Alligator mississippiensis: one gene and its partners. The protein of the gene in region 1 interacts with the protein of each later gene in a biochemical or structural test. Links are inferred from orthologs where the notes say so. Each region holds a gene or a part of one and is shown in the gene's direction. Other genes may lie near its edges. The genes, in order: CASK, CFTR, ATP2B4 and SDC2.

Region 1 (7,454 bases):
GGACATGTGCTGGCACATATATGTCCACACACATGCACGCAGAGCAAAATTGAGCATTTGTGTTTCTGGCTGTTAATCTCCCAGCCTCACTTTCATCTCTTACATAAAGTGAGTCAGGGAGATTAACAGCTAGAAACACCAATGCTAATTCTGCTGTGTGCGTGTGGGGAGGGTGCAAGGGCATGGCCTTCAGTTTGTGGTGCTCATTTGACACGGTTCTTTACTTTTAGAGGTGCTGAGAAACCTTCACTGCATTTGGGCATCATCTGCATGCTAGTAGTGGAAAATTCCCAAGTTTGGCAGATGTGAGTTTTTCCAAGGCCACATGGTTAAGTTGGGGCTTTGGGACTTGTTGGGAGTTTGGCTCCAAGTCTATTCTGCCACACAGCAACATAGGTGGTGAGTGAGAAGATGGATTTGTGAGATGCAGTGAGAAAAATTAGAGAATCCAAAACAAATAAATGAGGCTCTGGAAAAAAACTGGCAGAGAAAGAGGAGACTGCATTCCTTCTTGCACCTAAATGTCCCAGTGAGGTCAAAAGGCTACCATCCTTATAAGTAAACCATTCCAGAAAGGGACACGCTGAAAGTCTTCACTGCTTACATTTTAGGCAGTTACGGAATAAATTTTATTGGGTTCTAGAAATGCTGCAGAGATTCAACCTGAAAATTTAAAATTAGGCCTAGGCCCCTTATGGTTGGCAAAATCTAGCAAGGTCTGTTGGATGCTGTGGTGAAAAATATCAGTCTGCTGCCAGAAAACAAAGTATGACTTCCCCCCAAGTTGGGCATGACATCCAAGATCAAAACCACAGACAGGCAGACAAATTCATTCTCTGTCAGGATCTGCTACTAATGCTGCTCTGCTAATACACTCGGGTCTCTCTTTATGCGAGGGTTGCATTCCAAAAAAATCCTTGCATAAAGCAAATTTGCAAAAAGCGAATCCATTATTACATGTAATTAATAGGGATATGTACCAGCCGCACTCTACTGACCCCCCAAACCATGACAAATTCAAACAGTAATCACACAATACAATAGCTGCTGCGTGGAGAGGCTGTGAGCACACGCAGGGGGCAGCGCAGGGCAGGCTAGAGAGGCACCCAGGGGAGGGAAGCAGGGTGGCAGAGAATGCCAGCTGCTCGCCGTGCCTGGCTCCACCCTGCTTCCCTTCCCCAGGTGCCTCTCCAGCCTCGTGGGCACAACTCAATGCAGCTGGGAACAGCAGGAGGGAGTACAAGCTCCCTGCTGCACCGGGTTACACCTGCTGGGCTGTGGAGGCACCCAGGGCAGGGAAGCAGGGAACTGTGGGGCCGCACAGAGAAGGTGCTTGCCCTGAGAAGCAAGCAGCAGCTTGTGGAGCAGGTGCATTGCCAAAGCAGCACGGGGTGAGCACCTTCTCTGTGCGGCCCCACTGTTCCCTGTTTCCCTACCCTGGGTGCCTCCACAGCCTAGCAGGTGTGACCCAGTGCAGCAGGGAGCTTGTAGCCTCTCTGTGCAGCCTCACTGGGTCACATCCACCAGGCTGGAGAGGTACCTGGGGCAGGGAAGCAGGCCATCAGGGAATGGCAGCTGCTCATCCTGCGCTGCCCTGGGGACATGCCTCCTGTGCCTGCTGCTCTTTGGCAGCGGGATGCAGGTGTTGGGACCAGGCAGGGAGAGGAGCCGAGCTGGGCCCAGGATTAGGGCCAGGGCCCACTGCACCCATGCATCTGCCCCTTCCTCTTCCCCTTGGAAGTGTGTGCGGCAGCGGGGAGCTACCGAGAAGCCACTGGAGGGTCCATCCTGCTCTCTTCTTGGGCCCTGCAGCTGCGCACTGCAGCTCTAGACCCCATGTACCCGCTGGCTGGACAGCAGCCCCAGGCCTGCCCAGCTCCCTCCCTACAGGGACCTCAATCCCCCTCTTCCCCCCGTTACCTGCCAGAGCTGCCCTCGAGGCTACTTGGGGCCATGTGCATGTACTTGTGCATGCACATGGTGTCCCCTGTCTTGTCACCTCCCTTCTTCTTCCTCCCAGCTCCCTGCCAGCTGGAACTCTGCCAGCTGGCAGGGAACTAGTTTCTGGGCAACTTCGCATAAGATTGGATTTTTCTTGCACAAAGCAAATTAAAGGTATAAATTAAGGTCATTGCATATAAGTGAATTTGCACAAAATGAATTTGCATAAAGAGAGACCCGAGTGTAGATCAACAATCATATTCTCTTAGCCTCTTTCACTTGGGGTTTAATAAGAGTGGTTTTTCTGCTGTAGAGAACTCAGAAGGCCCGCAACAGGTCCCAGTGTGTTTGATGCTACGGATTCTGGCTTGAAACCTCTGGGTTTATCTTGTGAATCAGTTTGCACATTCAACATTACAAACTTTGCATAGCACCCTTGACAGGCTCTCCAGGCACCCCAGGGTGCCACAGCGCCTTAGTTGAGAATCACAGGTGTAGAAACTGTTAGAACACCTTATGGGACACTTCTTAGTTGGGCTCTCTTTGACGTGTGGGAAGACAGCATAGCCTTTGCTGTTAATGAGTTTTAACCATCCCTTGTGCGCCGAAGTTATTTTTGAATGCAATTAACTTGACAAAATGAAAACAGAAAAACATTTTTCCTGGATAAGAGCCTCTGCGTACCCCTCCAGGGGCACAGCTTCCCTTTCCTTCTGCCATCGGCTTTTTGCCAATACCAGGCAAGCATCCGCTGGCACCACCTAGCCCAGCGGTTCCCAATGACAGATTGCGCACCACCAATTTAAAACAATGCGACCTTAAGTACCACCAGCAAGTGTTTCAGCTTAACCCTAAGTGCCCCCAGCCAATTTTTGTCATATGAAGTAATGATAATAAATCGGTTCACGCACACCATCGACAGATTGTCTGCATACCACTGGTGCTGCCTGTACCACAGATCGGGAACCGCTGCCCTAGCCTTTTTTTCCTGCCCGTCCTTCCGCAGGTGCCAGAACAGGGCCAGACCAGGGGCTGCACATTTTGCAAACGAAGCGACTGCGGACACAGCCCCGCTCGGCGGGACAGCGAGAACCAGAGCCGTTCAGCTGCCTCGCCGAAACAAGAGGCCCCCGGGACTTTGCTTTTCTTCTCTTTCCAGCGGCGGGCTCGGTTTTCCTTACTTCGAGAGACGACACTGCACGCTCACAGAGAGAGGAGGGACAGAGGCTGAGGTGGAGCCTGCTTCTCGGGCTGCAGCGGGAAAAGAGCCGGCAGGACAAGGACAGGGACTGCAACATTACTCGGGGGCATCATCCACATCCTCCCTGCCCTTTGTCTGCACGCGGGGCTCCCCGCAGGGGGGGAGAGGCCGCCTTCCTCCCCGGCGGGGGCCTCACGAGGGAAGCAGCCACCCCACCCCGGATGACGTCACACAACCCTACGCCTGCGCACTCCGGCTTTTCCCCCGCGCTCTCTTACGGTCAGTGGGCGTGGCTCTGCGTGCGGAGGGCGGGGCGGGGCGGCGAGGCGAGCTTGCGTGCGTGTGTGGAGTGGGCGGGCTGCTCGGAGCAGCCCCGAATGCGTGCGTAGGATGCGCGCGCCGGCGGGGGTTGCGTGACGGGTGTCGGCGCGCGCCCCTTCCTCCCCTCCCTCCCCGTACCGTGCGCGAGCGGCGCGCGCAGCCAGACGGCGCTGCCTCCTCCCGCCCCGCCAGCCGCCGCCGGGGAGGAGCCGCCGCCGCGGCCGGAGCAGCAGCGGCAGCAGCAGCCGGGGCCGCCGCGGGGGGAGGGGCGGAGGGAAGGCGGAGCCGCAGCGCGGGCGCGGCTGGAGCGGGGAGCCCGGCGGGGCCGCGGGGGGCACCTCCCCCTCCCCCCCGCGGGGCGCGGTGGGACCATGGCCGACGACGACGTGCTGTTCGAGGACGTGTACGAGCTGTGCGAGGTGATCGGCAAGTGAGTGCGGGGCGGGGCGGGGCGGGGCGGGGATGGGATGCTCTGCTCGCTGGCGCCCACCTGTGCGCGGGTGTGTGCGCGCGCGCGGGTGTGTAACCGCTTTATGTAACGCGGCGGGGGAGGGGGTGACCCCGATGCCCCCCGGCCCCTGCAGCAGCTGCTCTGCCGCTCCCTCGCATCCCAGCGCCGCCGGGGCAGGGCAGCAGCCTGCCTCCCCGCGGCCCCGCCCGGCTGCAGCATGCCCGCGTTGGCGCTCAGGTAAGGGCCGCTCGGGCTCGGCGCAGCCCTCTCCCTCCCCCGCTGCCGGAGCCTCCTCGGGCTCCTTATGCAACGGCTGCTCTCAGCCCAGCTATGGCTGGAGGGTCCCTGGTCTCTTCTCCTCAAGCTGAGGGAAGTGTGAGAAGCCAGCCAGGTCCCCCTGGGGGCAGCCACAGCTGTCCTGGCTTTTGCCCTCCTAGTCTTGCTGGGTCGTGAGGCAGCAGTAGCAGTGGGATGCCGCTTTCCAGTGTCTCTTTGGTTTGGAGACAGCTGAGGGCTGAATAGAGGCTTGGGCAGTCACTGTGGCATGCACTATTTTTTGCTGACGGATCTTTTGAGGAGGGACACTTTGCAATACCACCTTGGTTTAAACAGGTTTGTGTGTGTGTGTCTGTTTTCCCCCCCTTCTTCCCCCCCCCCCCCAACCTCAGCAGACCTGAAATGTTCTGAGAATTGCCGGCTCCTTGGAAAGCTGGAACTAAAACAGGCTTTTTTTTTTTTTTTTTTTCTTGAGCACATCTTCCCTGGGGATTATGCCAGTATGTCAGTCTAAGACTCATGGAGTGACCGTGTCCTTAATGTCACATTCGCCCGTGTTTTGATACTTCTCGTTTTTTTCGTTATGGCACAAGGCATGCACCCATCCTGAATGTCACCTGCCGTTTCCTACAGATGTCTTCTCGGTCATAAAGCTTGAAGGGACTCGTTTGGCAGAAGGACCACTAATAGTCGTGGATGTCATTTAAAGCTGATCAAGAGAAGAAAAGCTTCTGGGGTTAGGAAATTGGATGGCAACTTTGGTATTACCAGCATGCAGAGCAATTTCAGATGATCCGGTGTTGAGCTGCACCCTTCCCCCCCCCCCATGAAAATTGCATGAGTGTGAATTTTTAGTACTTTTGTATATTTTATTTGAGTAGGGTTAGGGCCAATTAAAAGGGAGGCCTAGTGGATATGCCTAATCTTAATGTGGGCACTTTCCAGAGATGAGTTGTGCAAAGGGGATTGTTGCAAATCTTGTGACATTTTTAAAATGATTCTCACTTTGTGTGAATACTAAGGAAAAGGGGCCAGAGTTAAGTGCTAAGTATCTACAAAACTTCAAAATAAATATTTTGGCATTTTTTAATTGTGTATGTAGTAGACAAAGTTCTTTGTGATGTAAATAGGTTAAAATTGTCAGAAATTGTTAAAATTGTGCCAGAGGAATAGAGTGGGCAGTTAGATATCCTAACCTGTGACATTGTCGTTGCTGCTAACTAGTCAGGATTGTATAGCCAGGTTCTTCTGTGAGGATCAGGAAGATGTCATGTCATTCCCCTTAAAGAACATGTTAATAAATAAATAGCTTAATTATTTGCATCAGTATTCTTGTCACTTGAATAATACCCTGGAGTTACGTGTTAAGGACCATAGATGGAGCTTCTTGTTTTGTTAATACCTCAAGTCTGTGAAGCTTTTCCGTCTTGGAGAAGCCTGTGAAAGGGCAGTGTAAATCTGCTCCGAATTGCTACATATGCATCTTGCTAAACACCTTTCAGTAAAACATCAACTAAATGTCTGCCCATTCCTGTGACTTATTACTGATTGATACAGTAATTTAGCTCTTGGAAACAGCACACCTGGCCTTGATTTGCATTTCAGAGGCATGAAATATTTAAAATGTGTGTAATTTATCTTTACTGAGTAAGTGGCTACCACTGCCATCTTACGTAGAAAAACAGGTGGTTTCAGGAAAGCTATGGAAGGGAGAACTGTAACAAAATGTTTTTTTGCATGTCCTTTGTAGATGTTGAATAGGTTTTGAAAAGGTAAATTCCTAAATTTCTTTTCTGTTGGCTTGGGAACGCAGACCTCCTTTGGAGTCAGTCTTCTAGTTGACACTTGACTGTACAGCTTGCTGTGTTAGTCTCTTTCTAAATCTTTTAAAAAAATTTTAATGAGCTGCTAAGACTGGCAGGGTTATTTTATCTGAACAAAATGTTAATTGCTTTTTAGCTTGTTGCATTATAATTTGGTAAGAATGAACTAGTTGAAATGGTGGCTGTGATGGTAAAAAGTCAGGCAGTTAAGGAGCATTGCACAAGTTGAAGTTCTGTTAGCAGGGTTTCTTTTTCTTTTTTTGGGCATGGGAGGAAAGGAGTGTCAAAATTGGGGAATAGATGTACTATTATGAATATATCATCAGGAAAGTGGTGGTGAGTGACTTTTATTTGCATACACTAATACACACCTTTTTTCCTTAATAATAAAACAAGCCTCACACGGACGAGTAATCAGGACAATATAATTTCCTTCTTAAGTTAAAGGCAGCAAAGCTTAAAAAACAATCAGTGGTGTCCTTTAGGATGCAAGCATTGCTCGAGTAAATTTACTTTGCAAGTTCTGGGTAAAATTTTGGATTCTTGACATAACTTGTTCACATCCACATCCCTTCTCGCATGTGCTTGCCCAAGAGTAAATAATTGGGGTGGGGGCATGCTAGCCTTCACAAACATTAAATGTTAAGGGAATTGGCCATGAGGTAAAGAATAAATAACTCCTTTGATTCAGACTTCAGAGGTTTACCTAAAAGCAACTCACTTGGGATGTTAGAAGGCAGATTACTACAAAAACATTTAAATGCTTTTATTTTCGGTAAGGCAAAGTACTGGATTCAGAATTAATAGATAATTACATCTGGTACATTTTGTGTTTAAAACATTAATTCTGGCCACTTGCCAGTTGCAAAAAAGTTGAAGGAAGTGAAGAGTTTTACCATTCTAAGTGTCACTGAAAGGTATTCAAAGCTTATTGTCTGCAGTCTGTTTATGTTGAGACATAGTATATTTTAAGCTTAAAGTAATTCTCATGCCCTTCTAATACTGAATAGACACTTCCAGTACTCGCCCAGAAGACCAAATCGTGGTTTCTGTGTTCAGTATAATTTTCTTCTGATCCTTGCCACATGACTATCTAGTTTTGGCTTGTATCTGACTTTGACTTGGTGGGGCTATAAGATTCATATTTTTGGTAGTCGTGTAATGCTGACATGTTAGACTGTCTGTGATGATCCAGACGTACACTAGAGACTGCTTTCATTAAAGTTGCCTACCCTGATGTCTTTCTCTCAGAACGCCTTATTTATTAATATTTATCATTTTACTTCATTGCACTGTGGTATATTCATGTTGAAGGAATATTGTCAGAACTAAAAGTGCACTGAAGTCCTCTGGCTTTACTAATGGCTAACATGGGTGTAAAACTGACCCTGTGCCCTAGGCTGGATCTAGGTGTGTGGTGTGGTGGTGGTGGCAGCAGCAG
Region 2 (7,935 bases), on another chromosome or scaffold:
ATGATCTCTTTTATTGAACCAAGTGCATGGTTGGGACACATTGAAACATAATTTTAGGTATCAGAGTAATCTTCCTTCTGGGAGAGAAGCAGGCACAGCAGAGTGAGTGATTACCAAAAAAAAAAGAGTAAGGGTGCTGTGATATTCCCTCAAATTATCCCAAATTTACCCCAAATCCCCTAACAAATCACCCACAAAAATCGTGCCTCTCACGTTCTTTAATGTTTTAAAAATCTAGCAAATCTTATTACTTAGTACTGTTGCAGATAAATTTAGGAAACAATTCTGTCTTATACTTTATAAATCCTGTTTCGTAGAGCAAAGATAGTGGGAAGTGAGGTTAATTTATTGTTTGACATGGGGTTATTTAATATGCAATAGTGAAGCACTTTCTTTTGTGGTCAGTATTTTTAAATTGCTGTATGTTTCAGCAGCTGACTGTTGCTGGCCCTCAGCAGAGCTAATAGCTAGCTTCATGTTCTTTTAAAAATGAATCTTCTGAAAACTGAATTTTCAGTAACATAGAATGTTTGAAAGTTATAGCAAGTGAAGAACCTTGTTTGATAGGACATTCACAGGAAGAGGGGATGAAACATAATCAAACCCATAATAAGATCTTACTTTGCTGCAGCACCTGAAGTACTGAAAACAATTCCAGAAAGCTGGTGCTGTTGGCTGGTGACACATAATTTCTTTATGGATGACTGAATTTATCTTTGCCTGTCTATTACAGGGAGGATAGATGGTGCAAACACTACCTACACACCTCAAGTTATACCTGAAGGGGAGTTACCACAAGTGATTAAAAAGAAACCTGTGTGTGGTTTCTACTTTCTTCTACCAACAGGGATGACTGTCTTTGATAGAAGGAGTCTAATCTAGTTCCTGAACCCCAAATCCTTCAATAATTTCTCAAATACACATGCTGTCCCTAAGTGTTTTGAACCTCTTAAGTCCAAAAGTACTGGGGGCACTTAGAAGTTTGCAGTGCCAGACACAACAGATCATTTCAGGACATGCTTGTGCCAGTCTCAAGGTGGGCACGCAGACACACTTTCCTTAGGGAGGGAAGGCATTGGTCCTAGCTAGTGCCTATAGACATATTTGATACCCAAAAGAGAAGGCAGTGAAGGTAGGTTTCATTTTGTACCAGTTTATAGAGCTGGTTTCATATGATGGCTGTGTCATTGGTCATCTGGTTTGCTCATTCAGGCAGCTCCTCTGCATACCTTGTAGCACAGGTCACACCCAAATTGTTGCAATGGGGCAGTGGTACTCAACTGGCTTGTCCAGCAGGACAGATGGGCAGTGCCCAGTCCCTCTGCGGGCCAGATCCAGGTGGTGGCACCTAAGGCAAGTGTGACAGGGCCCCATCTAGCTATGCAGAGGAGGGCAGGGGGCAGCCCAGCTCTGATCTAGCTGTGTGGGGGAAGGGAGCATGACCTGGGCCTGATCGAGCCATCCTGGGTGAGGGTCATGGCCCATCTGTGACTCACTGTGCAGGATTTGGGATTTTTGCAGTGAGGGTGGGGGTATTAGCTGCCACTGCTCCCCCACTGCCAACTTATCCAACACATGGGGAGTCCTGCAGGCTAGATGCCAAGGCTCTGGCCTGTGGGCTGGAGGTTGAGCTTCCCTGGTCCAGAGCAAAAAGTAGTGCTTTGGAGATTCAGATTTCTGTACCAGCATGTCTACTTCAGGATTGCTGGAGGCAGGAAACTAGCTGTATCTGTGGTACTGGGAATTCCCCTGTGCCGGAGGAAATTCCATTTAGTGAAATATGCCAAGTCTGAAGCTGCTTTTTGATATTGGAAGGATGCACAGCAGCCTTAAGCAGGGCCAAGAATACAGAAATGACAAAGACAAGGTGGTGCCCATCAGAGAAGCAAGTGAAGTTGCCCAGTAGGTTCGAGTTTGCCTGTGTGGCTGTGCAAATTAGAAAACCAAACTGCTACAGTAGGTATGTGTTATAGATTACAAAAGGGAGGGAAAATGAAAGGAAAAAGAAAAGAAACAAACAAACAGAAGTTAAAACAATGTGTCATGTATATGGTACCTTTGTATCTTTCCAATAGTGTGTACTTTGTTACCAGGCAATCAATCAAAGAGGTGGAACTTGTTTTCTTTCTTTTCTTCTCACCCACAGTACACCCTTGAAACTCATTCCCTGCTGGGTTTCACATATATATGCCCATAATAACATCCCTAGTTAGTGGCAAGACTCTGACAGCACTACAGGTTTCCCTGTGAAAGAGTTCATTAAATGCCAGCCAGTAATCCGGTGGCATTTGTTAACGTAATACTTTAAAGCCAATCTGTTTATCTTTATCCTTGCTTTCTTTGTGTCAAAAGAGATTTTGCCATGACAAGAGAAATGAGAACCAGAAATGAGGAATTAATGCTGGTATTCCTAACGAGTTCAGAATGTTAAAGGCCAGATTCACTGAAAATCTTTGGTGCCATTGTTCTAAGGCAGTGCAAACTTTTAATAAGCCTGATATATATGGCCAGTTAAACTAGGTTTATATTCACTTTACAGAGAGGAGTGAAAATCCCCCCTCCTTCCCCCCCCCCGAGTATAATGGTGAATCTGGCCCTAAAATTATGATGATGGGTTATTTATATAGCCTTCTAGCTGGTGCAAGCTATTTTGAAAGTATACAAAGCCTGATATTCTTTCTGACAGCACTTTCCCAAGCATTTTCTGAAAATCTATCTTAAAGGGGGCGCCATGACGCAAACTGTCTCCTAGAGATCTGAAGTCAGCTGATGCAGCCTGCAAGTTAGCCCACAAAGCTGGGGATGCAGAGCAATGCCAGGTCACCCTGGAAGTACATACGCCTCTGTGTAGACTCAACTTTTGAAATCCTGACTGCAGTTTAGAAGAGCCTGGAGGGAATTCCTGGAGGAAGATGGCATCATTGCTTCCCTGCTCATAGCAGTGAATCACCCTTGACTGTAACTATCTCCATGGGTGGGAATACTGCAACTCTTGTGGATGCAGGGCTGAATCGAATCCATTCTTAAGGTAGAACAGGAGGTGCTTACCCAGTAATTAGGGTAAGGCAAAATACACCCAGTTTAGGATAAGGTGAGGGGATGGGCAAAGAGTTGTAGTTGATCAGCTACTCAGACCACATTCCCATGAGTACAGTAGACCTGACTTACTTATGCTCCCTTCCTAACAACTTCTCTGCTTCAAGCACAGTAAATTTTGTTTCTTCAGGCTGTGGCAAAATGCCCAGTTAGATGCTAATCAAAAATGCAAATAAAAAAAATGTAGAAAGAAACAATGTAGTAGAGACTGTTTTCCCAAAATATAGGGGGTATGAAACTGTAAATCTTTTTTTTCCTTGTCTCAAGATAGATTAAGAATTGTTTAGTATAGTTTCAGAGCATTATGCATGGGCTTACAAGGTACCTGTCAAGGGCAGTCACCCTTATTAAACAACAATACTTTGGAATGAAGTGGGGAGGGGGGCGGAGGGGGGAGGCGCTCTTCAGAACTATCTTAGCTTACTTGCAGTAGTCATGTAGTATTCCCTCAGTTTTATTCATTTCATGATTGCCAAATTTTCTGAATGTACTGCAGTTTCTTTTATGAAACAAATTGGCAAGTGTGTTTTTTTTCCCAAAGGACAAGGGATTAGTAGTGTTTGCACAAGCCATGTACACAGTTCCTTTCTGTCATCCTGTACATGACCTAGCTCATCCTTCGAGGTGACCACCCAGGATTTTTACCTAACAAGATTTTGAGTTATTTTAAATATGAAGGCATTCACAAGAATTAGAAATGTATCTCTGATATCACTGTTCCCTAACTTCAGCAGCAAAAGAGTTCATGAACAGCCTGAACAGTTTTCCCCTTGCCACTTTCAAAAGCATATTCTGATCATTGGTTTTACCGTGACATATTATGAACTGTGTGCACTTTTTCATGTAAACTGCAGCTAAAGACTGAGCTGAGACCAAACAATTTATCTGAAACAGAGGATTTCTGTGGTTGCAGAAGTGAAAGAAAATCCTTTTATTGCTTAAAAAAATTCTCCAAAAAAATGCTTAAGCATAATTATCCACTTGGAATACATCTCATTTCCCCAAATGCTTAATAGACTAAATTAGCAGGATTATTGATTTATTATTCACATGATTATAATCTTTTAAAATATTTGTAATGTTAGATTATGTGTGTACACACATGAACATTAAGAGTCATACACATGCATTATGCACCTCATTTACAGAGAGGCCTCTGTATGACATGCATAATATTACTTTTATACTTACTTACGTCCTTTATGCTGCCAGAAGAATATAACGTGGCCTTAATATAAATCAAGAATCAGGTTAATTTTCTTTATATAATACACATTTATAGACACACAGAGTGACATTTACACTAAAAATAACCTCCAATAAACAACTTCTAGCCTTGAAATGACCCTCTTAATATATTCCTTAAAGTTTTGTTTGGCCCTTCATTGCAGACTGTCTCTTTTAGGAAACATATCTTGTAAGTCTTTTCTCTTTTGGATGGCTTCAAATTTGTGGGCTAGGATTTTCTGTTCATCACTTTAATTGTAATCATAAAATGTATTTTTGTGACAGATGGACAGACACATAAAAATGCATGCAGCGATTACTTGCAACCTACTTCTTACAGTTATCTACTTAATTATTTTGTAGAAAACGATTATATTTAACAATGAAAGTAAAGCTTATTTTCACTGTAACCTTAGGCATCTCCAAAATGGTACTTCTACTACTGTATGTACTTTACTATGTATCTTAAAGATGCTTGTTAATTGCATTTTTCTTAATCTTATGTTTTCAAATGACCTTATTAATAAAATATGATGAAAAATTTGAACAGGATCCCTTGGGGATTCATTTCAAGTAGTGTGCACTATAATGCATGTAAGGAGTACCATGAAATCAATAGCTGATTCATTACAGTTACTAATGACTGTAATGAATCAGCTACGAGTGTTACTCGTATAGGGCAGCTAGTTAAGATTATCTTCTTGGTTTTTTTTCTGTGAGTTGATAGATATTTTGGAACCAATATCAATAGGAATGAGATTAGGTCCAAAATCTTTCTTACATTTTAAGTGTCCAAAAATTATAACTCAGTTATTCCTTGAAAGTATGGCTATCTGTCATAGTAGTTTCCACTAACATTAATGGAGATTATTATTTAACCTGAACATTGTGCTAAAAATGTACTTTTTAAGGCCTGTATTAAAGTTAAAAAAAAATTGAAAATGTTTAATAATGGATAAAAGCTATCATTGGCACATCCATTATGCCTTGATCTTGCAAAAGATCACACATAATTTTCAGTGTCTATTGCCAAGTGAACAGTTATGCATATAAACAATAAGTTAAATTTCCTTACTTGTAAGATTAACTTCTGTTTCTAATGTAACAACATTTTTATGTAATATTCATTAGCACAGAGACTACACATTCTTGAAAATAGAACTCCAAAGGCCCAGTCTACTGCTCACTCTACTCCTAGTGATTTTTTGGGGGAATGTTTGTGTAAGAGTCATGCATAAAATAATCCAATTTAAGAAATCCAATGCTGTTCTACTAATGTTATCCTTACCTACATACCAAAGTATTCAAAAGCTACATTCTTGGTTAACAAAGTGTCATTTTATGGTTTATTTTGTAATGCTCTGTTGCATAGTGAATTATATATGCAGTGCTGGATATGACCTAAATAGCTAACGTCCCTCCAAAACGAATCTTGGAATGTAGTAATAAATCTTCTTTTGTTTAGGTGGACAAACCCAATTTTGAAAAAGGGTTACAGACAGCGATTGGAATTGTCAGACATTTATCAGATCCCCTCCGCAGACTCTGCAGATAATCTTTCTGAAAAATTAGAAAGGTATGATTATGTACATATTTATTAGCATTATATCATGATGTGGATGGCAATGGCTTGATCTGGAAGAGTGAGTGAGGACTAGTGAAGGTATCAATTCAGCTTGCTTAATTGTAACAGGACACCAGAAACACTAGAACAATAGAGTTTTCAGCTGCTTTTAAAGTCCTGGTTAGGTTGCGGGCAGTAATGGTTCAACCATGTCGTTGGCTTAGTTTTGGAAAACTGGGTCACTTCTGGCCTGGTTTCAGGCTTGCAATCTCATTTTTAGTTTTGTGGCTGCCTTCTTCCATATCAACATATCACACCACTACCAACTATTTTTTCTTCATAGTCTAAGAAAATTCCATCCCGTTGTTTTAATATCCAGGGCTAAGTCTTGTTCTCAGTTCTACCTACTTAAGTCTCCCTGCCTTCACCTTCCACATACCCCCTTGGCTTTCACCTTTCTCTTCCAGAGCTAAAAATCATTTTCCTCAGGATCCATCCTCACCTTAGAACTTCCACCTCTGAATCCCTCCATTGGCTTTCTTGAACAAAGGAAGTTTTTCCATGATCTCCTTTCAGACTTTTATGACACCAACTCCCTTCACTTCTATTCCCATTTTTTTCACTCTGCCAACACCTTTTTTCTCACTTCTCTCTCCCTGTTTTCACCTTTTGCCTTCTTTCATACTTCAACTCCAACTTTAAAAAAACCTTCCTCACCTCTAGTGCAAAAGACACCTGCACGCTCTTTGTTCAAATCCTTCTTTAAAACATACTTCTGCAAAGTCTATCAAAGTTAGCATATCCTTGCTGCAGCTGATGAATGGAACCCATGTTAAATATATATTATATAAATGGGAACTTCATGCACTGTTTGATATTTGACCATCTCCAGAGGACCAACAAAATATTTAATTGTGTAAGCAGAATGTCAATGGCTTAGGGTGGTGATTTTCATTTGTGGTATTGTGACACCCAGGGGTGCCTTGATATTCTTTTAAGGGTGTCACAAAGTGTCATGCAATACTAGCCCTGCTAGATGTGCAAACACCTACACATGTTTCACAAAATAAACCCAGAAATTTCAAATAGAAATCCATAGCTTAAAAAAAATGTTGACTGGTTGTGGTCTTTTTGAGTTCTTTGCAACATAATAATCACTTTATTATTTTTTCTGTTGTCAAAAAAGGAGTACAGTTAGTTTTTGAAATTGAGTGCTGCTAAATTAAAAAAAAATGATGGAGAATACCTTGAGTCTAAAAAAAGTTTAGAACAACTGGAGTATGGGGTTGGTACTGCTACAGGGGCATTTTTACTCAAGGAGCACTTGCAGGAATGAATCCTAAATCATAAGCTAATTTACTTTCTTTCACAGATTATTTTAAAAAATAAAACAAACCTAAATCCTTAGGATAAACTTCCCTCATTCTCCAGCATAGTTCGGATCTGCATAGCAATGTGTGTCCACTAACATTAAAAGTAAGATGGGAAGAGAAGAAAAGAACACAGGTCTCATTTGTGGACAATGACTTTGAATGGAACTCTTTTAATGGAAGATATTTGTCTTTATGTATATTCCAAGGGATTGGATGTATTTTATAATATTAAATTTGTCATATGATAAGTTGTATTTATTAATAAAATAAAATGGGATCTATGTTTTCAAAACTGATGGCAATGTCCTGAACACATTGCTGCTACTCAGTAATTATTTATACAAGGCAGAATTTCTAGACAATATGCCTCCAATTAATTAACCTTTCCCTTTGAATATACTTTACTGTTCTTTCATTTGCCAGAATTCAAAATTAAAAATGAAAAGGAAACTGTATTAAGAGTTTCCAAAGTTATCAAATACATACTGAATATAAGTATCACAAAGCGTGGTATTTCTCTCCTTCTGACTAAAGATGTACTTCGTGATAGGAAATTACCACCAAAAAGCCCCTAAAGAATTGACAAAAACTAATGCAGTTCATTAAGCAGGCCACAGTTTAGAATACTTTTTCTTTGTTTTCTTCTTGCTGAGGGACTGGAGGAGCTCCAAAACT
Region 3 (7,506 bases), on another chromosome or scaffold:
TGGTGCCGCACCCCATGTGGGGGCAGCTGGGCTGGGGGATTGCAGTACATGTGGCAAGAGCTGTGTGAACCTCCCACATGGAGAAGGCTGGACCCCACCGAGGCAGGCAGGGGCAACGGAACAGAAATGATTCCACGAGCTTCACGACACGAGCCCTCGGCCACCCATGGAAGGGAAGCACTCTCCTTAGGATGGGGAAACTGAGGCACAGACCTGAAGTGACTCAGGATAATAAATTGGGGCGGGGAGGGGTCCTCCTGTGCTCAGAGGACAGGGGGTTTGGTTCCTGAGGAGGGAGGGTGACCCACAGGATTGGTGCTTTCCATGTCTCCTACATGCAGTGCTCCACATGCAATGAGGGTGGATGGGGACTGCCAAGCTTCCTGCCAGGATCTGGAGAGTGGGAGACTGAGCTGCTCCTTGACCAGGCCCAGGAAAGCCCCTGCCTTGCTCCTCCCCAGCGCTGGCTGAGCAGGGGTGGGAACCTAGGGACCTTAAGCTGCTTGACTGGCATCTTGATTGAATATTTTCAACTCACCCCATGTGGCCAAAGATGCTCCACACTAGGTCACAAGTCACTTGACCCAAGACCGGTGTTCATGGCTTGGCTGGGATGTTGCGTGTTGGGTTGGGGAGGCAGCCAACTACTGCGCCTGATCTCTCAGCCATGACAGAGCATGGCACCCTCCAGCCCAGGGGTTTGGCTGGCCAGAGGTCGCTGCAGGATCAGGGCTGCCCAGTTCCAAAGAGCGATGCTGCCATAGAGAAAAAACCACACTTCACCAGGCTCGGGGAGAAGAGCCCTGCCAGGCATTTCTGCCTCCTCTGGCTTCCCCTTTGATCCAAGCTCCCGGAGCAGAACGGAGAGCTCCATGCCTGTCCCCTGCTATGGCATTGGAAGGCAGCTGGGCATGTACCCTCCTTCCCCACCCTGAGTGTATGATGAATCTCTGCCCCCATTGAACAAATGGGACTCAGGGCCTCTGCAGCCCCCCCAGTCCCATGACACTGGAGCGGCATCACATGCAGTGCCCCTTGCACTGTGCTCCTCTGTGCAGCATTTATTCTGCAGGGTCACAAGACCATGCGAGTGGGTGGCCTTGTGACCCACAACGTGCAGCTGGCCGGGCAGCATGGGGGCTCAGACTGGCATTGCCTTCCTGACCCAGAGCCCAGGGGTTCCTGCTGCCACACCTGCCGCAGGATTCAGCTTGTCTTTCCCTCCACTGCCAGCTGGCTCCCACAGTGGGAAGGGGGCAAAGCCGTTGTGCCAGTTCACTGAAGATGCCCTGTGGTGGAAGGGAGTCGGGTTGGATCAGAGGCCTATCCAGTGTGTCCTGCACTATTTGCCCTATTTCCAAGCCTCAGAGAAAGCAGAGCTCATGTCAGAGCAGCTTCAGGGTATAGGGCACCAAAGGAAGGCAAGGGACTATATGGTATCTTTTTCCCTGCTTTGCCTTTGTCCCGGGTGTCACAGCGGAGGAGTTCATAATCAGGCCCCATGCTACTGCTGTCTGGTCTATTTAACTCTAGAAGGACTCAACAGCAAGGAGCATCCTACTCTGAGGGTGCACATGTACTGCTCACTCTTGTGCTAGGGGAGATTCTGGGTCTTCCCAGGCCCTGTTCTTTTGCCCTGAGAAACAGAGGCAGCTTCTGAATGTTGATGGTGTGTCCTGGTGCAATGGAAACCCAACTGCCAGGAGGTACCTGGTCAGCTGGGATGAGAGGTGCATTTCTAAGCAGATTTGGATTCCTTCAGACTGATCTGGCTTTTCCCAATGACAGCTCATGGCAAAGGGGGCTACAGCTGCTCAGCGCGTCTGAAAACCTCTGGATTCACTTTAGCTCCGCTATAGGCCCAGAGGGTGAGACTCTCCAAATTCAGAAAATCTTTCTAGAAAAGCTGCTGCATTTGGGCAGTGCCCAACATCCCAAACAATCCTGATTACAAATATCTTCTGCCTCCCAGGCCACCACGTGTGGGTTTTGGGGTTTTTTTGTTTGTTTTTTTGAAGTCACAGCTCAACCACCCAGGAAATTGCTGAAAAAGTCACTGTTTTTCCTGTGGGACCTCTGGGTGGGTGAGACTAGATTCTGTTCCCGGAGGCCTCACAAGGAAGATCCAGTCCTGAGGTAAGATCTCTGGGGCTTGTCTGTACCACATCCCTATGGTGCCTAGGGAAGTGTGATCCACAGCAGGCTCTGTGGGCACCTTTACTACTGGGTTTCTGGGTCTGGGGTGTGCCAGCAGGGGTAGGATGGCAGGCTGTTCCCGGGAGCATCCTCTGCCATGCTGGGGTGGTGGTATAGATGCATCCTCAAGCTCAGCGTGCTTCAGTCAATAATAGCATTTCCCTACGGCGCGGAGATGCTGTGAAGATAAATACGCTGAAGACTGAGAGTGCTGAGACACTATATGGTAATAAAAAAAAATAGAGGGAGAGTGCCAGTGGCAGCTTTGACTGGGAAGTCACTGTCTGTTCAGAGCTAGGAAACAAGTAGCTCCTGATTTGGCACTTGACTTGGAGGTAATCCATCCTTAGAGAATCAGCAGGGAAGAAGGACTTTGCCCCTGAAAAAGGAGATCCACCTTTCAAAATACTCAGTTCAAGCATGAAAACAATGCACCTTTAAACCAGACGTGCCAGGGGCACGGGGAGCATTTCCCTTGTTAAAGAAACTGCAACTGGGTGGATTGAAACCGTCATATTAAGACTTTGACTTTGTAAAGGGCTTGTGCTTAGGAACAACCTTATTTGTACACTGCAATAACAAATCCCTGCACCTTTTGGTGTGTGTAAAGTTGCTGGTGGAGAAGTGTTCACAGGATCCGGCCTTGGGTTTTGAAAAACAAATGCTACCCAAACGAGTTGGGGCTTGTCTACACACAGTTTAAATCAGAAATTGCTGAACCCAACAGCAACCAGGTTGGTGGCAGGGGGAGGGTGAGGGGGGTGGTGAGCACTGGAAGGCATTACCTAGAGAAGCTGTTGTGGGATCTCTGTCGCTGGAAGCATTTAAGAGCAGGTTCGACAAACATTTGTGTGGGGGGTGTAGAGAGGGCTGATCCCGTCTGGAGCAAGGGTCAGAGTACAGGTGACTTCCTGAAAGCCCTTCCAGCCCCGTGTCTGTATGAGCCTGTGCAACTTGCACCAGTGTAACTGAACCGATGTGTTCCCCCCACCTCCCTTTAGTCATCTCCATGCAACATGATGTATAGATCCAGGCCTAAGCTTGATAGAAACGTTTCCTTGATCGCTTGTTTGTTTGCTAGGAAGCAGGCCCTCCCCCCACTTTTTTTTTTTCAGTTGCCTTTCTGGGTTTCTTCATGCAAGTAGCTGCTGGCGGTGCAAATTTTCCAAGGCTGGCAGCTTTTCTCAACCCACAGGTTGCGACCCAAAAGTGGGTCACAAGAATATATGAAAGGGTCACAAACAAACTTTTAAAATGGATTCTCCTTTAAATGAGAAAAATGTGAGAAGTTGGGTTTTCACAAGGCACAGTTCCAGCCTACAAGAGGCTGCTTGCAGCCCCCCTTGCCCCACACACTGGGGGGCTGAGGGTTGGGGCCAGGGGTGGGAAGCAGCAGATTGGGAACGAGGGGCACCGGCAGGGTTAGGGAACTGTTTTCTACTTAAACTACGTACTGGGTCGGGACTAACCATCAGTGTTTACAAATGGGTCCTGGTGCAAAAAAGGTTGAGGACCACTGCTGTAGGGCATCCTCAAAGGAAACCAAGGTGAAGCAGGTCAGCCTCCTATCAGTTGCCTGTGCAAAACAATGGGAAAACGTGCCCTTTCAATGTCCTGTGCCCTCACAAGGGCTCCTAAACCCCACACGGGCCCCACCACCACAGCAGGACGGGGGTTCAAACCCTTCCGTGTCTTCTCCCTTGACTCAAACAGACCCTGCTTTGCAGGTCCATGGGGATCTGCTGGGAAAAGCAGGTTTGCACTAGGAGATTGCAAACCCTGGGCAGGAAATGCTGGGGTGGGTTTCTGCCTCAACCTCTCTCTTGAAACACCATTCTCAGAGACAGGGGTGTAGGTTGTGGCCGCCTTGGTCCAAGGACACAGGCAAAGACAAGGTTGTTTGGGTAAATCGGGTCTCTTTTACTGGAGATCAGACTGACTTTTTATTCGACCGACTGAGGGAAAAAAGAGATCAGGTTTACCCGAGGAACCTTGTCTGCCTTCTCTGACACTGGTTTCTTTTCTGCTTGGGTTTGCAAAGGCAGGCATGGAGCAGAAAGCAAGCGGCAGGGGGATTACTGCTGTCTCCCCCTCTCCTCCCGCCCGGGCTCTGCCCCGCGAAGTGCCCGGGAGCTCCCACTCTCCTGCGGCAGAGGCAGCGCGGGCACTTCTGCCTTCCCTTTCTCCCCCTTAAATGCAGCCGCAGCAACAGGGCGAGCGCGAATCCACCTTAAGAGAGCGCCTCCTCCTCCTCCTCCTCCTCCCCGGGATGGGGTGAGCCCAGCCGGGCTAGGAGCGGGGTTGCCATGACAAGCATTTTCTGAGCTCGCCCCGCCACTGCAGCGCTCGCGCGGGCGGAGCAGCCCGGCTCCCTGCGGCCGCGCCCGGCGGGGGACGGGGCGACGACCCGGGGCGGCTCCGCAGCCTCCTGCCCCTGCGCGCCCGGGACCAGCCGGGTCTTGCGCCCTCCTCCCGGCCGCGGCCATGCGGGGCGGGCCGGGCTGCGGGCGGCCGGGCAGGACCAGCTGCAGCCCATGAATTAAGTGCGGGAGCGGCTCCGCCTCTCGGTGTCCCGAGGAAGCCGGCAGTCCAGGACGTGAGTTTTTCCCTGCTGCCCCCTCCTCTGCCCGGGAGCTCCCGCCAGCCCGGCCGGGGCTTCGCGATCGCTTCCCCGGCTATAGTTAGCAGCTGCCTCCGGCTCGGCGCTTGGGACCTGCAGAAACTTCGGCGCCGGGTTTCCCTGGGCTTTGCGGGGGCGTGAGTGCCCCAGCCCCTCCAGCCAAGGGAAACTTTGCCTCCGCTCCCTGCAGCACAGAGGTGGGGGCTTCTCCTTCTCCTCCTTGCCCTTCTTCTTCTCCTTCTCCTCCTTGCCCTTCTTCTTCTCCTTCCCCGCCTTGCCCTTCTTCTTCTTCCTCTCCTTGCTTCCCAGGCTGGGGCCATGGTGGGATCTTCCCCTCGCCAATAACCCCCAGGAACCAGAGCAGCCTGCCTAGGGGTTGTCGGGGTGCTGGGGCTGCGCGGCTGCTAACACAGGGACCTGGTTATGTCGTGGTGGGTGCACAAAGCCGGCTCTGTGTCCCCACCGCTGCCCACCAGCCTGGCTTCCTTTTGGGGGGTGGGATTTTGCTGCCCCAGCAGGGTCTGAGCAGTGCCGGTGTATGAGGAGGGCTGGCCGTCTGTGGGTGGGGGCAGGACGCCTGGCAGGGATGCGGGCGTGTGTGCCGGCTGCTCAAGGGGGCTCTGACTGCAGGGAGAGGGTGGGAGCGTGGTGGAAGGCTGGCACTGGGCGCGGGATCTGTTGCGGCTGCAGCAGGTGGGTGGGACGGGCAGCAGGCTGTTGGAGCGGGCTCAGCCGGAGGGGGAGGCAGGTTGGCAGCTTCAGGTCCCCCTCCCTGCTGTGCTGTGGCTGGGGTAGGGTGCAGGGGCAGAGATGAGGGGCCAGAGTCAGATTCCCTGCAATAGCTGGGGTGCAGTTCATGGCTCTGGGATGAGGCCCTGAAGAGGGGTTTGGGGGGGCGGGAGGGGTTGCAGGCTCTGCTGTCAGCATAGCCAGCTTGTTCTGGCTGAGGCCCGAGATGCACCTGGGTATGAGGAGGCGGGGGTGTCTGTCCGCTGCACTGGATGGAGAGGATACCATCTCTGCAGCTGACTCCGGGCCTCTTGCTGCAGCAGGTGGGTGACCCACCCCCTGCAGCAAGGAGCGGTTCTATCTGCTTCCCCCCCAGCCTCCTGCCAGGTGGGCAGGAAGAAAAGCTCCAGCCTGGGAGAGTCCCATCTGTTGCACTGAGTCTCCTTGGGAGAGCTGCATCCACACACACGCATCTCCCTGCCCTGGCTATGACTTGGTCAGCTTGCCCTTGGAGTGGCAGGGAGATTTCCCTGCTGGCTCGAGCCTCCCTTGTGCCCTGGCTGGCTTGCTCAAAGGCCACAAGGGGTTATCCACAAGTCGCATCTCCTGTTCTGCGTTGTGGTGCGGTGGACCGCTAGGATAAGGCCCCATGGTGGGAGCTGGAACCGTGCCGGTCTCAGCCCAGGCTGCCATCAGCCCATGCTGCACAGCAGCACCATTCAGCATCCGCTCTCTTGCCACCCCCTGCCTGGGAAGGGTTGGAACAGCAGCAGGGTGCGGGCTGCAGGTCGGGATTCGGATGCCGTGTCTGAGCTCTGTGTGGGAGCCCCAGGCGGGAAGCGCCGGGCGTGGCGTCGGGTCTGGCGCGAGGTACGTTTGCCTTTCCAGGGCTGGTGGCCGGAGCAGCAGGTGGGCTGCAGGCGGCAAGCGGGGAGAGGCATCAGCAGGGCATGCTGGGGAGCAGGGGCTACTGCAGGCAGAAATGTGTGTGTGTGTGTGTGTGTGTGTGGCCAGCATTGGGCTAGTGGGGCGTGCGTGGGGTGGGATTGCAGTGCGCTGGCAGTGCCGGCCGGGCCACGCCTGGTGCTGGCTGTCCCTCCCTTCTGCCTGCACCGCTCCAGCCCATCCAATCAGGGTTTAAAAGAAACAAGCCAGGCAGGAGGAAGGGGCGGTGGTGGTGGGGGACCCAATCTAGCTCCAGACAAACGCCCTGGCTCTTCTGACTCCTGCCTGCCCGCTGAGCCCCCTCCCAGGTCCCAAATGCTCTGGAGGCCCGGAGCTTCCCTCCCTCTTGCTGCGCATCTGGTTTGAATCTTGGAGCTCTGTGGGAAGGTGGTTCCTGTTATGCAGCCTGGAGTCAGGCTCCCTGTGTCCAGCCTGGACCCTATCCCCTGCCCTCGGCTTTTCCTTCCTGGGAGGAGATTGCGTAGGCTTGAGGCAGCTCGTAAGGGCTCCGTGCTGGACCCTGCTCGCAGGCCAAGCTCTCTGTACAGCCAAGGCCCGTGCAGAACAGAGAAAAGGAGTGGGAGGTGGTACAATGGGTTATTGTCCTCGTACCTCCGGATCCAGGCTCTGCTCGTAAACAGCATCCGTGATCTGCGTGAGCTGCCTGTCTGCAGTGCAGCCCCCCTGAATGGGTCAGCATGATGGCCAGGCTGCAGGGCTGGGGGCCAGGGGGCAGCCTGGCTGGAATAGACATGTCCGCAGAGCTCCTGACTGGAAGGACTGGTGCAGCACAGAGGGGCATGGGTGGGAGGGTGCGGAGTACAGCGTGGGGGCAAGACGCATCTGTGCAGCACTCCTGGAAGGAGCCTGGTCCCAGTAGATAAGTGGGGCTGTAGGTCTGGCCTGAGGGTGGGAATGGTGTAGGTGCGTTGAGCCGGGGCAACGTGCCACAGGGGTTTGTGCAAGTGGCCTCAGCTCTGCGTGGCTCCTGATGCTGCCCTCAATCTTTCACTTCT
Region 4 (7,852 bases), on another chromosome or scaffold:
AGAAGTTTGATAGGCTGGTCTAACCCAAATAATTTAAGTTTGATACTACATCCATCCAGGTCTATTTTAGACCAGGTTTTGACATTTTTAAATGAGTCTATGCGTGCTGAACTTCTGTACTGTTATGGGTTTAGACTGGTTTTTGGTCATTTTTACCAGTTTGTGTGTAATGTCTGTACCGGGCCTCTGTGTTAGCTTGGTACACATAGGTGTGCAGCTACATACATTAGGTTGTATCATATTTTGCCTGGCTCAAGCCATGAATCCAGGGTCTAGAGCCAAACTTTCCCCAAATCCAAAGGTATAGTTTTCAAGAAGTACCCAGAGCTGAATGTTCCTAGCTTGGTATATAGATGGGGTCCAGTTTGGGCTTCTCAGTAGTCATAATCAGGGTTAAAATACCATGCTTTTGTCTCCCTGATTCAAAGCACATTTTTAAAAATTAGTCTTTAACATGGTTTGAACTTTTCCATCCTGACCATCCAAACTATATTATAACAATCTAGTTTGACCATTGTCAGACACTGGCATTTTGATATTATAGACTGGGCCTGATAGAGAAGTGGTCAAACTTTTGACATAAAGGCAATACACTGATTAATGACTGACAGCATGGATCATAAGTGTACCCAGGCAGTTTTTTCTTGGCTGCTCTGTCAAGTTTTTGGTCTCTGATTACTCTCCCATTGTAGTTCTTATTACATACTTGCTTTGGGTGAAAAACACTTTCTTTCTGCTTTGTGCTGGGCCTCCCTCTGGCCTCTCTTCCTATAAAATCAGGGCGACAAGAGAAGCAGGTGCTTGCACAATTGGCTGCAATAATACAGCACAGCTGTTGTGGAGTGGGGGCCACACATGTGACTGTTCCTACTGTAATATCAAGCTCTGGGGTGGACTCCATTAGGCATGCTGGGAAGCTGCAAGTGGATCCCAGGACATATACTTTTGTTATTCCTGTGACATGAAAGGACTATTTATTTTCTTTCTTTTTTTCTATTCACTTTTACCTGTTTAAACTTACAATAAAAATATTCATGCTGTGCTTGCGTCCTTCAGTCTCAGTTCTTCAGAAGTCAAAGCATGTATTTAGCATTAAGTGAGAAGTAAAAAATATGAATAAGTGTTTGCAGGTTTGGTGGCATTGTTTCCAAGTGTTAGACCCCAAGCTTGCAAAGGACTTGGTGGTATGTTGTTAGGGCCCTCTTGTAAGAAGCAGGAGTTAGATGTTCACACCTCCTTCTGGGACAGTAGCTACCTTGTGGACAGCTGGGTTCCATGAGGAGCCCTACTGAGTGTTGGGATCTACTTATGAGGAATTTCCTTGAGGGTCAGAGCTTAACATCTACAGCAGGTTTTGGCCTGGACTGGATTTTAGAGCTCTGTAGGTAAATCCCTGATAAGCAGGGGTTGTTACAAAAATATACCATATTTCACAGTGTATAAGTCAAGTTTTGAAGCCCAATTTTTGTGTCAAATTTTCAATTAAAATCAAATTTGACATACACCATGCCACATCAAAAAATCAGGGATGGGGCTCAGCTTGGCTTGGCACTCAACTGGTACAGCCCCATTCCCTAGAAGCGGTGCTGCCGGTGCCCCTTGCAGGGGATGAGGTTACGCCAGCTGAGTGCCAAGCCCCATTGAGCCAAACCCCATCAGTGGCACAGGCTTGCAGAGGATAGGGCTGTGCCAGCTGAGCGCCAAGCCTGGCCTTGTCTGCTGTGAGCAACACTGCTGAATGCTGAGCCTGACTCTGCTCACAGGAGATGGAGCTGGACTCAGTGTTCAGCTGGTGCAGCCTCATCCCCTGCAAGAGGCACCAGGCCTGGCACCGCTCACAGGGGATGGGGATGGGAATGGGGCTGGGCTTGGCACTCGGCTGGGGTGGCATCATTCCCTGTGAGCAGCACCAGCAGCACCGTTTGCAGGGGATGGGGCCACACAGCTGAGCACTGAGCCCAGCCTTATCCCCCTCCCCCTCCTCATCCCTATCTCCATCCTCATCCCCATCCTCTGTGAGCAGCCCCGGGCTTGGTGCCGTTTGCAGGGGATGGGCTTGGCTCTTGGCTGGTGCGGCCCCATCCCCTGCGAGCTGCAAGCCTGACCCTGACTCATACACCATACCGATGAAAGTCCTTACCTTTCACATCGGAAAGTCAGGGGTCTACCTATACATTGTATTGACCTATACGCTGTGAAATATGGTCAATGCAAGCTCTGTTTATTTGTTGAAAACATATTCCCAATAAACACCTGAGAGCTAAAATATTTCCACCAGAATAACACCTCCAGCCATGTTTTTTTTCACACTATTCAGATTCCTTAGGGGACTTCTTGCACTCAGCTTTCCTTTCTTGTCAGTCTCTTTCATTTTTTGTCAATTTTGATATCATTTGATTTTATTGTTTTGAGCACACTGTATAGTCATTATGGGGGAACCAGCCAAATACTTGTTCTGAGTTTGAAAGATGGCTCTGACCTTGGGCAAGTGCTGAGTTCTCAGTCCAACAAGCTGTTGATCAGTACAGATGGATGCTGATGTTCATGGGGCTCTCTGCACAGAGGTAGAGTTGTGCCTATGGTGATAAGCTTTCAGGATTTGAGGAAGTGACAAGGCCATGGAGTAGGATATTTGTACAAACTGGAGCTTTCAGGGCTGATGGAGATAGCCTTGTTCCCTCTAGAACAGTTTGTGGCTCAGTCTTGCTTTCTTCATTGTAAATAACCCCCCTATTAGGTGGTAAAATTACTGGTTAGCTGAACAGCAATCCAGCCAAACCTCTGCATGAATGGACTCCTCTGTCCATATAGAAACATGCAGATCTAGCAGTTGCCCATGCACATGACATGCAGGATCAAGGAGTATATTAAGCAATCTGTTTCTAGGAATAACTCCCCACTGAACAACTAACAAATATGCCAAAGCAGTTGGATTCATTTAATTGGGAAGTGCCATGTAAAAATGATGACTTGCGGCTCTATCCCCCAGATCAATATTTAAACAATAAGTAGGATTGCTGCTGGGGGACATCAGTCTCCTCAGTTTAGCTCAGGGGTGGGCAAAATATGGCCCGGGGGCCAGATCCAGCCTGCTAGGCCATTCTATCTGGCCCGTGGGACCCATAAGAAAATTAGCAAATTACTATTTATTTGCTGCTAGCTGCCTGTCAAAAATGACAGGAGCCAGGGGCAGTAGGACCCAGAGGAAGCTGGTAGCAGGATCCAGCAGCAAGGTCTGCCCAGCCCTGCCCCCTCAACCAGAAACACCTGCCTAGCAGAGGCTTCTAGCCAGGTACCATGGGGCTGTTCCTGCTTCCCTGCACCGGAGAGGGAAATGCGGCCCTCAACAGCCTGCCGAAACTTGGTAAGCGGCCCTCTGCCCAAAATAATTGCCTGCCCCTGGTTTAGCTCATGCACAAAGTGAACATGCCAAAAATGGCTCCCCTTTCCTGTGTGAACTGGATTTACAATGCAGCAGTGATATTTCTCTGTCTTTTGATTCCAGGGAGGCCCCCCTGAAGGCTCATGGGTGAGAAAGTAAGGTCAGAAAGGTATGGGATGGGGTAAGATATTATGTATGATGTTAACTTTTGTGTAGAGCAGCCTTGCTGATGGTGGGTCGTGTGGGAAGCTACAAGGCCATGGGGCAGGATTTCTGCATAAACTTGGGTGCTCAGATTGGGGGCTGGGGAGTAGCCCATCTCCTGCCAAAACAACCCACGGTCCTAGAGGGCTACACTACTCAATCCATTCATGGGGCAGGAAAAAAGGGGATCCAGGACTTGGGGAAAGCACATCAAAGGGAATCTCACATCTTTTTTCCCTACCACAGTGGGTCTTTATACATTCAGGATTTTTAAAGCTAGAAGGGACCATTCTGATGAACTAAATGGACCTCCAGCATAACACAGGTCACAGAATGTAACCTTGCTGAATTGAAGCCACACAAGCCCCTTTGGAGAAAGGAGGCTACACTCTGCCTTCCCAGTTTTTGCTTCCGTACACCCCATGTCTGGCATCCTTTGGATACACTCAAAGGACACATTCTTGTTGCTGACTCCTGCTACATGAGTTCCTGTTGTTGTTCTGCACATTGTTCAGAAACCCCAGCTCCAGCATTCACATGAGGACACGAGAATTTCTGCTTTCTTTTGCTTTTAAAACAAGTCTTCAGTCTTGGAGGCCATGGTGAACAACCCCCAGCTGCCAAGCTGACCTGGAAAGGCAGGGATGGAAGGCAAAGAAGAAGAGCTGAAACAATGATGTTGAAAAAGGAGATCTTTTTTGAAGTCCTGGGGCGGAACAGCTGGAGGCGGCAGCTGCGCGGGGCCGGCGCTGACACGCGTGGGCACCAGGTAAGAGGCTTGCAAGAGATTAGCTCCAGACACGGCTGGGAGAGGCGGAGGCTGAATCCGGTAGAGTGAGAGGGAGGGAGGCAAAGCCGGAGACTTTCCCAGTTCTATTTTGTTTTTCTCTCCGGCTCCAAGTTCTCCGGGCCGGAGGCAGGCTTTCGCGGTCGCGTTGCCAGTGTTTGCCATGTGGGCGGTGGGGGTGGAAAAGTTGCGGGGCCGCGAGCGGGCGGCGGGGGAGGCCGGCTCCTTCACTGGCTGCAGGAGCTGCCAGTCTGCGCTGCGAGCCCGGCTCGAACGGGAGCTCCGGGCGCAGGGGAGAGGGGGCAGGCGGGGCGGCCGCTGGCAACTCCCCTCGCCCGGACTCGGGTTCCCCGGCGGAGAGGACGGGAACATCAGCCCGGGTGGGAGGGAAGGAGAGAGAAACACCCCCCTCCTCCCCCCAAGCAGCCAACTCCGCCCTGGAGCTGGTGGGATTCCTGCAGCCAACAAGTGAGGAGCGGCGGCGCCAGAGGCGGCCGCGGGCGGGAGGGAGCCGAGCCGAGCCGAGCCGAGCCCAGCCCAGCCCAGCGCCGCCGGGAGCCCCCGCTGCTCGGCTGTGGGATCTGGTCAGGGCGAAGCCGCAGGGGAGCACTTGGAGCCGGGTTTTGTTTTTTGTTGTTGTTTTTTTTGCCTTGCCTGAAGCAGCCGCTGCCTCGCCCGCAGCCCAGGAATAATGCGGAGCGCGTGGATCCTGCTGCCCCTCGGCTTGGTGGCCTGCGTGTGCGGGGAGGCGGTGAGTCGGGGCCGGGGGGAGGAGGGCGGGGTGCCCCGGGTGAAACCCCGGCCCGGCCCGGCTCGGAGTCACGCCGCTTCCCCGGCGGCCCCTTCCCACCTGTTGAGCCTCCGCAGCGAGGGGCGAGGCCGGGCGGCGGAGCGGGAGCGCTGGGGCTGGTGACGCTCTTCCCGGGAACAAGCGCCCAGCCCGGGGGGACGGGGACGGGGACTGGCCCGGGCCCGGGCCCGGACACGGGCGGAGCCCGCCCTCGGCGCCTCCTTGGATGCTCGGGCCGAGGGTCCCCCCGGCTCCCCTTGCGCACACGCGGCTGCCCGGGCGGGGCCCCGGGCCGGGCTGGTCCATCGCCTCGGGGATGTGCGGGGCTCGGGAGGGGGTCCCAGCTAGAGCCCTCGTGCCGTCGGTGTCCTGCCCCCTGCATTGTTTTCCACCGAGCCGTGGGCTTCTCAGCTACGTGACCGGAGGCGGGGGGCACTGGTCCGGTCTCCATGCCGCCTCCGTGTTGCCGTCTCCGCCCGGCCCCGCGCCCCCAGAGCGCTGCTGGGCGGCGGGAGCTGCCCGACGACTTCGGGGCTTTCCCAAGTTGGAGCCGCATCCCCCCCCTCCCTGCTCCTCTCTCGAGCCGAGCTGCAGCCTGGCTCTTGATTTGTGTTGAGGCGGTGCAATGTGGAGAGCAGAGGAGCCGTTCCCGCAGGGCTCTGCCGTGCTCTCTCTGCAGCTTTTTTCGGCCTCCCCCCAGTGTAACACTTGCATCAGGACTCCTGAGGAACAATCAGCGGCTAAGGAAAGTCTGTTCCACCCTCATTCCTCCGGGCTTCGTGGCTCTTAACATTTTATTTACTTGGCTGGTAACATTTTATTTGAGACGCTTTTGCTGAACTTTGGGGGAATTTGAGCTTCTTGTACTACTTAGACACCGAAAAATAATAATAATCAAGGGCTTCCTGGCCCCGACTGACTGTTTATCCTTGAGAAACATTCCAGGCAAGCTTGTATCTGAAATCACAGGCAGGGGAAACAAGAGGTCTTCTATGAGAAACATGCAAGTGAAGCCTCCTCCAAACATGGAAAGGCTTAAGGATGACTCCTGCTCTGATAACGCGGTACAGATGTTTTTGTCTGAGATGCTCCCTACAAAGCTGCTGTTGGAGCTTGCTCAAACCACAAGCATATTTATTGCCCCTGCTTAATAAAATTTAACTCGTGGTAACTCGCGTTCCGGCAGAATCACTTAACCTTTCTGTCCCACTTTTTCTCTCCCTACAATAGTGTTTTAGGCTTTTAAAATTAATCGTTGAATAGAGCTTTAAGATTCTCGAGAGAGGGAAGGAAGTATGGAAATACACGGTTGCCCTTATGGTATTTTAAGGTTTTAATAAAGTCCATTATTTTTATATGACATTTAAGTTATCATGAAAATTAAATCCAATTAAAATGAGATGTTCTCCCAATAAGCTAAATGATGTCACTAAATCAATAGCTTTTTGAAAGTACTCAGCTAAAGAATTTCCTTTGGGATTAGGCAACTTTTAATAAAAACCTTTTATGGAAGTAGCTTTTTTAAAGGTGACAACTGTTAATTTTTTTCTTAACATCACTTTTAAAACAGTAGCTACTGGCATTAGTTTGTAGTATGGAGACTACTTATGTATAGAACTGAATTCAGGTAGTTCTAACAGCAGTCTTTAGTTAATGAGGTACAGTATATTTTAACTTTAATTTTACAGCTCTAATTGCTTCTAGAGGTGCCTTTATTGTGAAGTGCTTGGATGGAGTGGCAACCATTAAAGTGCCACAGCAATTAGTATAGTATTAAGTTTTCTGTTCAGGACTCATGTGTTCTTGAACTGTAAGCCATGAGGCCAGTTTGTTAGAATGTACTGGTGCTGGAAGTGCAGACTGAGGTGTCTGAAAAGCACACGCCTGTCTTTTAGCACAGCACAGGAAAGTTGTGAAGAGATTGTACAAGGAAAGGGAGAAAATGGTTGTAGAGTCTGGCTGCAGCTATGCACTGTCCTTGTTAACTGTCTTTAGAAAAACATTGGAGAATACTGTAAAAATGTAAATTTCTACAGAATATAATCCTTAAAGTGAGGGAAGTAAGAGGACTTTTTATGAATGTTTAAAAGTTTGCCAGCTCCCAGGGGGGCTGTGAAGTAGCTTTATGTCTAATTTCTTTTTCCCCTGTCTAGTTCTGATGGTAGCTCTTTCTTTTTAAGTTAGATGAGGCGACAGAAAAGAATCTTCCATCATTCCGTTTCCTTTTTCTGGAGGTAAATTGAACATGTGTTTTTTAAAGCAAGAACAAATGAGTTTATTCTGTTTGCTTAATGTGGCAGGTTAATCATTTTAAGGCTCAGCTGACTTATTGTAGTGTAGAAATAAGAAATGAGAGCCATGTAAATTTAAGATGCAAAGTATGCAAGCTGGTTTAGCAATGCATACTCAAAGCCTGGCTATTGGGTTGACAGAAATATTTGGCATATTCTTTCTGAAGTGGTCCCCAACCCATGACTCCTGGGCAGCATGTTGCCTGTGAGACTGTGTGAAGTTGCTTGCAGACATAGAAAATTTAAAAGTTTTTAAATGGAAATTCACAGAGACCAAAGTACAATGTTGCACAGAGCATGTTCCTTCATCACTGTTGCTCATGGACCAGGGAAGATCAGGGACTTCTGCTTTAGAAACTTTCTTCCATGTACTGAAAAAAAAGCAGCTTGTAGATGGC

What was found.
Region 2: the proteins of CASK (region 1) and CFTR interact in a test that uses a peptide from one of them, tested with the Homo sapiens proteins (2 studies listed by IntAct, with this or other methods). The link is inferred for Alligator mississippiensis from reciprocal best matches to the Homo sapiens genes CASK and CFTR.
Region 3: the proteins of CASK (region 1) and ATP2B4 form a complex in vitro, tested with the Homo sapiens proteins (2 studies listed by BioGRID and IntAct, with this or other methods). The link is inferred for Alligator mississippiensis from reciprocal best matches to the Homo sapiens genes CASK and ATP2B4.
Region 4: the proteins of CASK (region 1) and SDC2 form a complex in vitro, tested with the Homo sapiens proteins (2 studies listed by BioGRID and IntAct, with this or other methods). The link is inferred for Alligator mississippiensis from reciprocal best matches to the Homo sapiens genes CASK and SDC2.

What each region holds. Positions count from the first base shown.
Region 1 is NC_081824.1:303,752,725-303,760,178, forward strand, and holds the start of CASK (peripheral plasma membrane protein CASK), read left to right. Parts: upstream 1-4,443; 5' UTR 4,444-4,458; coding exon 4,459-4,526; intron 4,527-7,454. UniProt on the Homo sapiens protein: Multidomain scaffolding Mg(2+)-independent protein kinase that catalyzes the phosphotransfer from ATP to proteins such as NRXN1, and plays a role in synaptic transmembrane protein anchoring and ion channel trafficking.
Region 2 is NC_081827.1:48,757,069-48,765,003, reverse strand, and holds the start of CFTR (cystic fibrosis transmembrane conductance regulator), read left to right. Parts: upstream 1-4,929; coding exon 4,930-4,995; intron 4,996-5,732; coding exon 5,733-5,899; intron 5,900-7,935. UniProt on the Homo sapiens protein: Epithelial ion channel that plays an important role in the regulation of epithelial ion and water transport and fluid homeostasis. Mediates the transport of chloride ions across the cell membrane.
Region 3 is NC_081837.1:39,477,879-39,485,384, forward strand, and holds the start of ATP2B4 (plasma membrane calcium-transporting ATPase 4), read left to right. Parts: upstream 1-4,493; 5' UTR 4,494-4,792; intron 4,793-4,801; exon of another isoform or gene 4,802-5,013; intron 5,014-7,506. UniProt on the Homo sapiens protein: Calcium/calmodulin-regulated and magnesium-dependent enzyme that catalyzes the hydrolysis of ATP coupled with the transport of calcium out of the cell. By regulating sperm cell calcium homeostasis, may play a role in sperm motility.
Region 4 is NC_081826.1:41,881,301-41,889,152, reverse strand, and holds the start of SDC2 (syndecan-2), read left to right. Parts: upstream 1-4,847; 5' UTR 4,848-5,064; coding exon 5,065-5,124; intron 5,125-7,852. UniProt on the Homo sapiens protein: Cell surface proteoglycan which regulates dendritic arbor morphogenesis.